2 linked regions of the Macaca fascicularis genome follow. The protein of the gene in region 2 binds, or shares a complex with, the protein of the main gene of each other region. Links are inferred from orthologs where the notes say so. Each region holds a gene or a part of one and is shown on either strand. Other genes may lie near its edges. The genes, in order: LAMTOR3 and FNIP1.

Region 1 (4,464 bases), on a different chromosome or scaffold from region 2:
AATAACTGCATAAAGTAGTATAAACTTTTCTAATTCTTTAGTCTACAAATCATAACATAAATAATTACGCAACTAAGAGATGCACACTGTCATCAGTAACCAGCCACATCATTTCTTTCAAAGTATGTTGATGGTTGGTCACTGTGCATCTGTTATGCAGTTCATGCAGAGATAGCAAAGCATGTAGTTTTGTACCTCCTTGTCTCCCAATGATAAAGTATGTGACATTTAGAAAAAGAGATAATAAAAAGAGGAAACTGGCCGACAAAGATGAAATACAGCAAAGAAATGAAAAGTAATAATGCTGGAAGTGAATTTCAAATAAAGAGTTATAGAAGAAACAGGTGACCAAGGGAATGCTGACACTATCCCTCTAGATACACAGAGAACTCAGTGAAGGCAAACTTATTGACATAAATGAGGAAAGCGGTTGTGACGAAAATTTTCCAGAGGACATGATGCTGGCAAAAAATATTCATATTAAAGGAAATCTCAGAGATACTTCAAAACATTGAAAATACACAGACAAAATACTTCATAAAATTAACATATGGCATATAGAATTTATTCAGTAACAAATTAAAAATTTCTTACCTTGGTAACTTTTTATACAAGAATCGCTTTAGGTCCTGAAAGAGAATATTAAAAAATCATGTTATAATAATAGGCCTTCCACTGTTTTCTAGATCCTGTCCTATCCAAATTTTAGGGACGTTCAGTTATCATTCATAACCTTTCTTGCTGTGTTTTATCTTTCTCTGTCTGATTTGGATGTTTACTAGTCATGCAACTTGGAGTAAGTTAACTAACCTTTTTTCCCTAAGCCTATTTCATTATTTGTTGAATAGGGCTAATATAGAACCTACATCATAAGAGTGCTGTTAAAGTTTTTTGAGAAGTTGCATGGATTAGCATACCTAGAAATGGGAAACACAAATACATTTTAGCCATAAAAATATATCATAATTTTCATACTAGTGTTTTATATCCTGTTGCTATTGTGTTCACTTGAGAAGACATTATAAACACCTTTCCAGGTTCAAAGATAGACTTTCCACCATCATTTTAATGGTCTTGGGTAAGGTGATATGACTTCTGTAAGACTGTTGTCTCACATTATAAAAATATGCCTTCCATTGTTTCATTATTTGTTGAACTCACCTACTCAACAAATAATGAAACAGTGTAAGGCATATTATTATAACATAATTATTAAAATATTCTGTTTAAGGACCTAAAATAAATTATATATGACTATGTGAGGCAACAGTCTTTTTTTTTGTTTTTGAGAGGGAGTTTTGCTCTTGCTGTCCAGGCTGGAGTGCAATGGCGCAATCTCGGCTCACTGCAACCTCTGCTTCCCAGGTTCAAGCGATTCTCCTGCCTCAACCTCCGAGTAACTGGCATTATAAGCACCCACCACCACGTCCCAGCTTATTTTTTGTATTTTTAGTAGAGATATGGTTTCACCATGTAGGCCAGGCTGGTCTCGAACTCCTGACCTCAGGTGATCCACCCGCCTTGGCTTCCCAAAGTGCTGGGATTACAGACGTGAGCCACCACGCCCAGCCCAGACTTACAGAATATAAGATAAATGGCGAAGTGTGTCAAGTGTTTAACACTAAACACAGTTAAGACTAAAGAAATATAAGACTATTTTATTTTTCTAAGCTGGGGCTCACTGCAACTTCCAAGTTCTGGGCTCAAGCAATCCTTCCGCCTCACTTCCAGCATAGCTGGGACTACAGGGTTATCAATGCGCCTGGTTTTTAAATTTCTTTTTGTATAACGGGGTCTTGCTACGTTGCCCAGGCTGATCTTGAACTCCCAGCCTCAAGTGATCCTTCCATCTCGGCATCCCAAAATGCTGAGATTACAGACGAAGCCACCTCACCGGCCAGAAGATTATCTTATTTTGTCTCATTACACTCTCTCATCCCAGGAATTTCACTGACACTTGAGGTATCAATTTTGACCTCGCATGGATTAATCAGATATCTGTTGTTTTGAGCCTCCAACACTTACTATTCTCCAAACCCGAATGATCATTTTATTTCATGTTATGACTATTGGCTTATTTTTGCTCTCATCCTACACACACACACACACACACACACACACCCCTCATTTTATTTCATGTTATGTTTCTAAAGAGGCATGGGTTAGAAATCATCGTAAATTGCCACAATAAACCTAATAAGATATTGTTACCACTTACTGGAAAAAAGTATTCTGGGTACATGTCCTACTGACCAAATTCTGACAGGAAAAGCAGCGAACCATCATTCAGAATTTCAAATGGTAAATACACAGAGCCTCTCTTATACCCCAGCTGGATTGGTGAGTAGGGAGAATATAATTTTCTCAGTCTCAAGCACCTTAGTGTCCTCCACCCCCATTCGAGGCAGAAACTCAGGATCCTGCAAATTCATTCATATTAGTCTCCCATTTCACATACAAGAGAAAATAATTAACTGGGATGGGTGGGGATGGGAGGATCTTCTACCTCTCCCCGCTCAGTATTCCCCTCCAAATTCCCCACTCTCCCTTCCTCTTATGTGGGGGTGTCACTCACATCCGCCATGATGAACCCCTTTCTCTCGCAGGATCAATCTCCACGCCTGGAAGAGAAACTCCCGGTGACTCTTACCTCTTTGGCTTCCTCGTCCTCCCCACCCCCAACTTAATAAGCAAGATCAGCCCTGGTCAGAACCCGGCAAAACCCCCGCGGTTCTAGGGCTTGGCCCAGCGAGCCCAGTGGGAGTCGGAGTGCCCCAACACCCCCACGGGTACTCAGCTGGCACGCCTTGCCTCAGCCCACCCCATCCCTGCCCCTCCACCCCAAAGAGCTAGGCCCAAAGAAAAGAAGAGGGGGCCCTCTCCTTCTGTTTAGTCTCACCACCCGCGCCACCTCCGGGACTAGGCCTCAAACCAGGCAAAGTAGCGCCAGTTACCTGGGGTTTCTGGGTTGCCTGGTTCTCTCCGTTGTCACTTCAGGGACAGCTTTAAAGACAGGTTCCTCCTCAAGCCACCGTCACATGATTGATGACCTCTTCGGCGCTCCGGGAAGCACTTTCTACGCCGTCGCCCCACGATACTGGATTTCCGGAAGGGCCTGGCGGAAGCTTCGAGGGCGCGGCCGCCCGACGCGCCCCGCCCCTCCCCCGCCCACCGCGGGCCGCGTCTTGCGCCTGCGCCTTGTGTCACGGGCCGAGGGACGTCAGCTGTGGGGTAGAGGATTTGTACGAGATCGCTGGACCCCGAGGACCCCAGAAAATGCAAGCAAGGTTATGTGTTACAAGACATTCTTGTGCAGAGAGGGTGTATAAATGTCATTAGTTTTTCAGGGTCCGTTATCTTAAAACCTTTTCTTGTAGATGAAGAAATTTGAGGGGATGGTGTGATGAGCTGAAGAGCAAGCAACAGATTGCCTGTGATTGGAAGTATCAGGTCCACAGGTTTCTGACTTGTTTCCTAGGTTCTTGTGACTTCCCCATGGGTGCTCTTTACTCAAGGCCTTATCTAGATTGAATGGGGAGGAGCCATGGGTTTTCTGGAGCACTTCAAGCGTCTACTTTTAACATGCAGACACGGGATTACGGGTACTTTCTATGTTCCCTTTTACATCAGAATTTTAAAAAATTAGTAAGGTCTCATATAATAAATAATAATTGGAAAAAAAAAAAAAAAAAAAAAAAAAAAGCCTTGCCGGGTGCGGTGACTGACGCCTGTAATCCCAGCACTTTGGGAGTCCGAGGCGGGACGATCCTTTGAGCCCAGGAGTTCCACACCAGCCTGGCAAGATAGAACCCCATCTCTACTACTACTACTACTACTAATAATAATAACAACAATAAAGAATTAGCCTTACGTGGCGTGCGCCAGGTACTCCGGAAGCTGAGGCATGAGGATCCCTTCAGCCCAGGGTTTGAGGCTGCATTGAGTGGTGATCGCCCCACTGAACTCCAGCTTGAGTGACAGAGCGAGATGCTCAAAAGAAAAGCTTCTTTAGAAATCACATCCTCTTTCAGCTACCACCCTGTTTTTCCTCTACTCCCTTTCATAGCCAAATTTTCAGAAAATTTTAGCCTGGTTTTTAATTGCTGCTTGCATGTCACAAATCTAATCAGAGTTCTGTTGATTCTACCTCCTATCTTTGAAAACTAGTCACCTATCTATGTTCGTACCCTAGTGCAAGCCATGATCATCTCTCTCTTGACAATAACCTCCTATTCTTCTTACATTCTCTTTTGCCCTCCAGTCTCCATAGAGCAACAAAAATGATGTTCTAAAAACCCAAATCGGATCATTTAACTCCTTTCTTGAAAATCAACTTTATTGACTTAGGATAAAGTTCAATATCAGCATCATGGTTTATATATCGTTCTTATGGGGATCTGGCCCCTATATTGATTCTCTCACCTACCCTGGATTCCTTATGCTATGATCATACAAGTTTGTTTC
Region 2 (3,815 bases):
GACATTTAAATCCTTTTTTAATTCTACAGTCATTTGTTGACTATCTAAGGCTCTGTGCTATAAAGATGAATGATTTGGAAATTGCCCTCAAGAAGTCAACAGTCTAAGACTGTAGGTAATATATATGCAGACAACAATAATAATTCAAGGAGGAACTATAAGAGAAATGAAAAGTTTAGTAGGAGTTGAACAGGGGAGCCTACTTTTGCCCAAGTGAGGATGCTTAGGTGGGAAGCTATGGACTGGCAGAGATATTGAGGAAAGGGACAGGACATCACATGAGTAAAGAGTAGGTGTTAAAAGTGCAGAGCATATTCAGTGGTCCAGTTTAACTGGGTCTTTGCATGAATAAAGATGATTTCTTCTTCTGACTGCCAAGAAGGAGGATAAGTATAAGAAGATAAAGCTGGAAAAGTAAAATGGGAATCATGAAAGACTCACTTGCCATACCAAAGTAATTTCAACTTACTTGGTAATTCGTGGGAATCGTGGGAGTAATTTAGAACAGTGGCATGGTGATATTTGAGCCAGTGTGTTAGCCAGAGGAGAAAATTTATCATAATAATACCTATAGCATGTATTTATTTGAGACCTATTTATATTTGTTCCTTTAAAAAGTGTGAGGGCTTTGTAAAGTAAAAATAGAGGATTTTAAATGTATATACTAACAACTTGCAAAAATTAAATTAAGTTGAAATTAGTGGCTTTGTATTCTCCTTTTTCTTTTCTTTCTTTCTTGAGACAGGGTCTCACTGTATCGCACAGGCTAGAGTGCGGTGGTGCGATCACAGTTCACTGCAGCCTCAGCTTCCTGGGCTCAGGTGATTCTTCCACCTTTTCCTCTCAAGTAGCTGGGATTACAGGAGCAAGCCACCATGCCCAGCTAATTTTCTGTATTTTTTTGTAGAGACGAGAGTTTTGCCATGTTACCCAGACTGGTCTTAAACTGCTGGGTTCGAGTGATCAGCCTGCTTCCACCTCCCAAAATGCTGGGATTACCTGCATAAGCCACCATGCCCAGCCCTGTTCTCCATAGTTTTGGCACTGAAATTACTGGTTTAATTTGAAGTATAGCATAAATATAGAAATGATAATTTCTAGTCCTGACCCCCTCACTTCCCCTGCTTTTAACATAATCGCTAGTCATGTTTAGAATGGGTTCAAAAGTGAAAATGAATTGCATGGCTAAACTCGTTGCCCTTTCTTTTCCTTTTAGTAAGGATGAGTCTCTCTCTTCCTGCCCCTTCTGGCCTATCCTGTGTACCCAACCCTCTAGGGAATGGAAGGGGAAAATAGGCTCTTACTAACATGGGAGCTGGTGGGATGGGGTGCTGGCTAGGGGAACAACAGTTAAAGTTTAGAGATATGACTTACTTTTTAATTTTATTTCTTTGTTTCTTTTTTTTTTTTTTGAGACGGAGTTTCACTCTTGTCGCCCAGGCTGGATTGCAATGGTGTCATCTCAGCTCAGTGCACCCTCTGCCTCCTGGGTTCAAGCAATTCCCCAGCCTCAGCCTCCCGAGTAGGTGGGACTACAGGCATCCACCACAACACCTGGCTAATTTTTGTATTTTTAGTAAGTACAGGGTTTTACCATGTTGGCCAGGCTGGTCTTGAACTCCTGATATCAAGTGATCCACCCATCTCGGCCTCCCAGAGTGCTGGAATTACAAGCGTGAGCCACCGTGCCTGGCCCCAGAGATATGATTTAAATCAGGAATGATTAAGTGTGTGGTGTGACTACTCTAGCTTTGCTCCATTTTACCGCTACTCCTTTCCTGTCCTTGCAAGCCAGCAGATATTGTGCTTTGTCTTTTCTTGATTGGACACAGCTGCAGAGTCCTTGTGTACATAGTACTTCAGGCAGTACTTCTCTAACCAGGTAAAAATGCTCTTCATGGAGCCTGGGTTAAAGAATATTCTTGGGATATGTGAGTTTCAGAACTGACTCTTTGCTTGAGGTTTCTGAACCATAGCATTTGTTTAAAGAGGAAGCCTGAAAACCCTTAAATTCACCTTTCTTTCTGGTTAAGACTATTCATCTCATCTTCCTCCCTTGAATAGTCACTCATCTGTTAAAGAACTAAGAATGAGGCCAGGCATGTTGGCTCATGCCTGTAATCCCAGTACTGTGGGAGGCCAAGGCCAGTGGATTGCTTGAGCCCAGGAACTCAAGATCAGCCTAGGAAACATGGCAAAACTCTGTCTCTACAAAAAAAAATACAGATAATTAGCCAGGTGTGGTGGCACATACCTATAGTCCCAGCTACTCAGGAGGCTGAGGTAGGATAATTACTTGAGCCTAGGAGGCTGAGGCTGCAGTGAACCATGACTGTACCACTGTACTCCAGCCAGGATTACAGTGTGAGACCCTGTCTCAAAAAAAAAAAAAAAAAAAAAAAAGTAAAACCTAAACAACTACTCATACAGTAAGATTAGGTTTCTGATCATTAAAAATAGCTTACTTAGCTGTGTCAGTAAAGGATGTGTCCAATAACTGATTTTTCCATTACAGGAGACTTGTATGGCGCTATTGGCTCTCCTGTACGGTTAGCAAGGACTGTGGTAGTTGGCAAACGACAAGACATGGTCCAGAGGCTACTTTATTTTCTTACTTATTTTATAAGATGCTCTGAACTTCAAGAAACGCATCTTTTAGAAAATGGAGAAGATGAAGCCATCGTTATGCCAGGCACAGTAATTACTACCACTTTAGAGAAAGGTGAAATAGAAGAATCGGAGTATGTCCTTGTCACAATGCATAGAAACAAAAGCAGTTTGCTCTTTAAAGAGTCAGAAGAAATAAGAACTCCCAGTTGTAACTGTAAATATTGCAGTCATCCACTCCTTGGGCAAAATGTAGAGAACATTTCACAACAAGAGAGAGAAGATGCTCAAAACAGCTCTAAGGAGCTGCTAGGAATTTCAGATGAGTGCCGGATGATTTCTCCTTCTGACTGCCAAGAAGAAAATGCTGTTGATGTTAAACAGTACAGAGATAAATTAAGAACTTGCCTTGATGCCAAGTTAGAGACGGTTGTTTGCACAGGATCTGTTCCAGTAGACAAATGTGCATTGTCAGAGTCAGGCTTAGAGCCAACAGAGGAAACATGGCAGAGTGAGAAGTTGCTGGATTCAGACAGTCACACAGGCAAAGCAATGAGATCCACAGGAATGGTTGTGGAGAAAAAACCTCCAGATAAGATTGTGCCTGCTTCATTTTCTTGTGAGGCTGCCCAGACAAAGGTTACTTTCCTGATTGGGGATTCTATGTCACCTGATTCAGATACTGAGCTTCGAAGTCAGGCAGTGGTGGATCAGATTACCAGACATCACACCAAACCATTGAAGCCAGAAAGAGGGGCTGTTGATCAGCATCAAGAAACTAAACAAACAACTAAGGACCAATCTGGAGAGTCTGATATACAGAACATGGTTTCTGAAGAGCCCTGTGAACTTCCCTGTTGGAATCATTCAGACCCAGAAAGCATGAGCTTATTTGACGAATATTTTAATGATGATTCAATTGAAACCAGGACTATTGATGATGTTCCAATTAAAACAAGTGCAGATAGTAAAGACCATTGCTGTATGTTAGAGTTTTCAAAAATATTGTGTGCAAAAAATAACAAACAGAACAATGAATTTTGTAAATGTATAGAAACAGTTCCCCAAGATTCATGTAAAACCTGCTTTCCTCAGCAGGACCAAAGAGATACACTCTCCATTCTTGTCCCCCATGGGGATAAAGAGAGTTCAGATAAAAAAATTGCTGTAGGAACTGAATGGGACATTCCAAGAAATGAAAGTTCAGA

The links.
Region 1: FNIP1 (region 2) and LAMTOR3 share a complex: the UniProt entries of both Homo sapiens proteins name them as parts of the lysosomal folliculin complex. The link is inferred for Macaca fascicularis from reciprocal best matches to the Homo sapiens genes FNIP1 and LAMTOR3.

Annotation. Positions count from the first base shown.
Region 1 is NC_088379.1:105,533,526-105,537,989, forward strand, and holds the start of LAMTOR3 (ragulator complex protein LAMTOR3), read right to left. Parts: upstream 3,045-4,464; 5' UTR 2,900-3,044; intron 2,622-2,899; 5' UTR 2,585-2,621; coding exon of another isoform or gene 2,576-2,584; intron 2,260-2,575; 5' UTR 2,243-2,259; coding exon 2,219-2,242; intron 630-2,218; coding exon 595-629; intron 1-594. UniProt on the Homo sapiens protein: As part of the Ragulator complex it is involved in amino acid sensing and activation of mTORC1, a signaling complex promoting cell growth in response to growth factors, energy levels, and amino acids.
Region 2 is NC_088380.1:138,207,706-138,211,520, reverse strand, and holds part of FNIP1 (folliculin-interacting protein 1), read left to right. Parts: intron 1-2,515; coding exon 2,516-3,815. UniProt on the Homo sapiens protein: Binding partner of the GTPase-activating protein FLCN: involved in the cellular response to amino acid availability by regulating the non-canonical mTORC1 signaling cascade controlling the MiT/TFE factors TFEB and TFE3.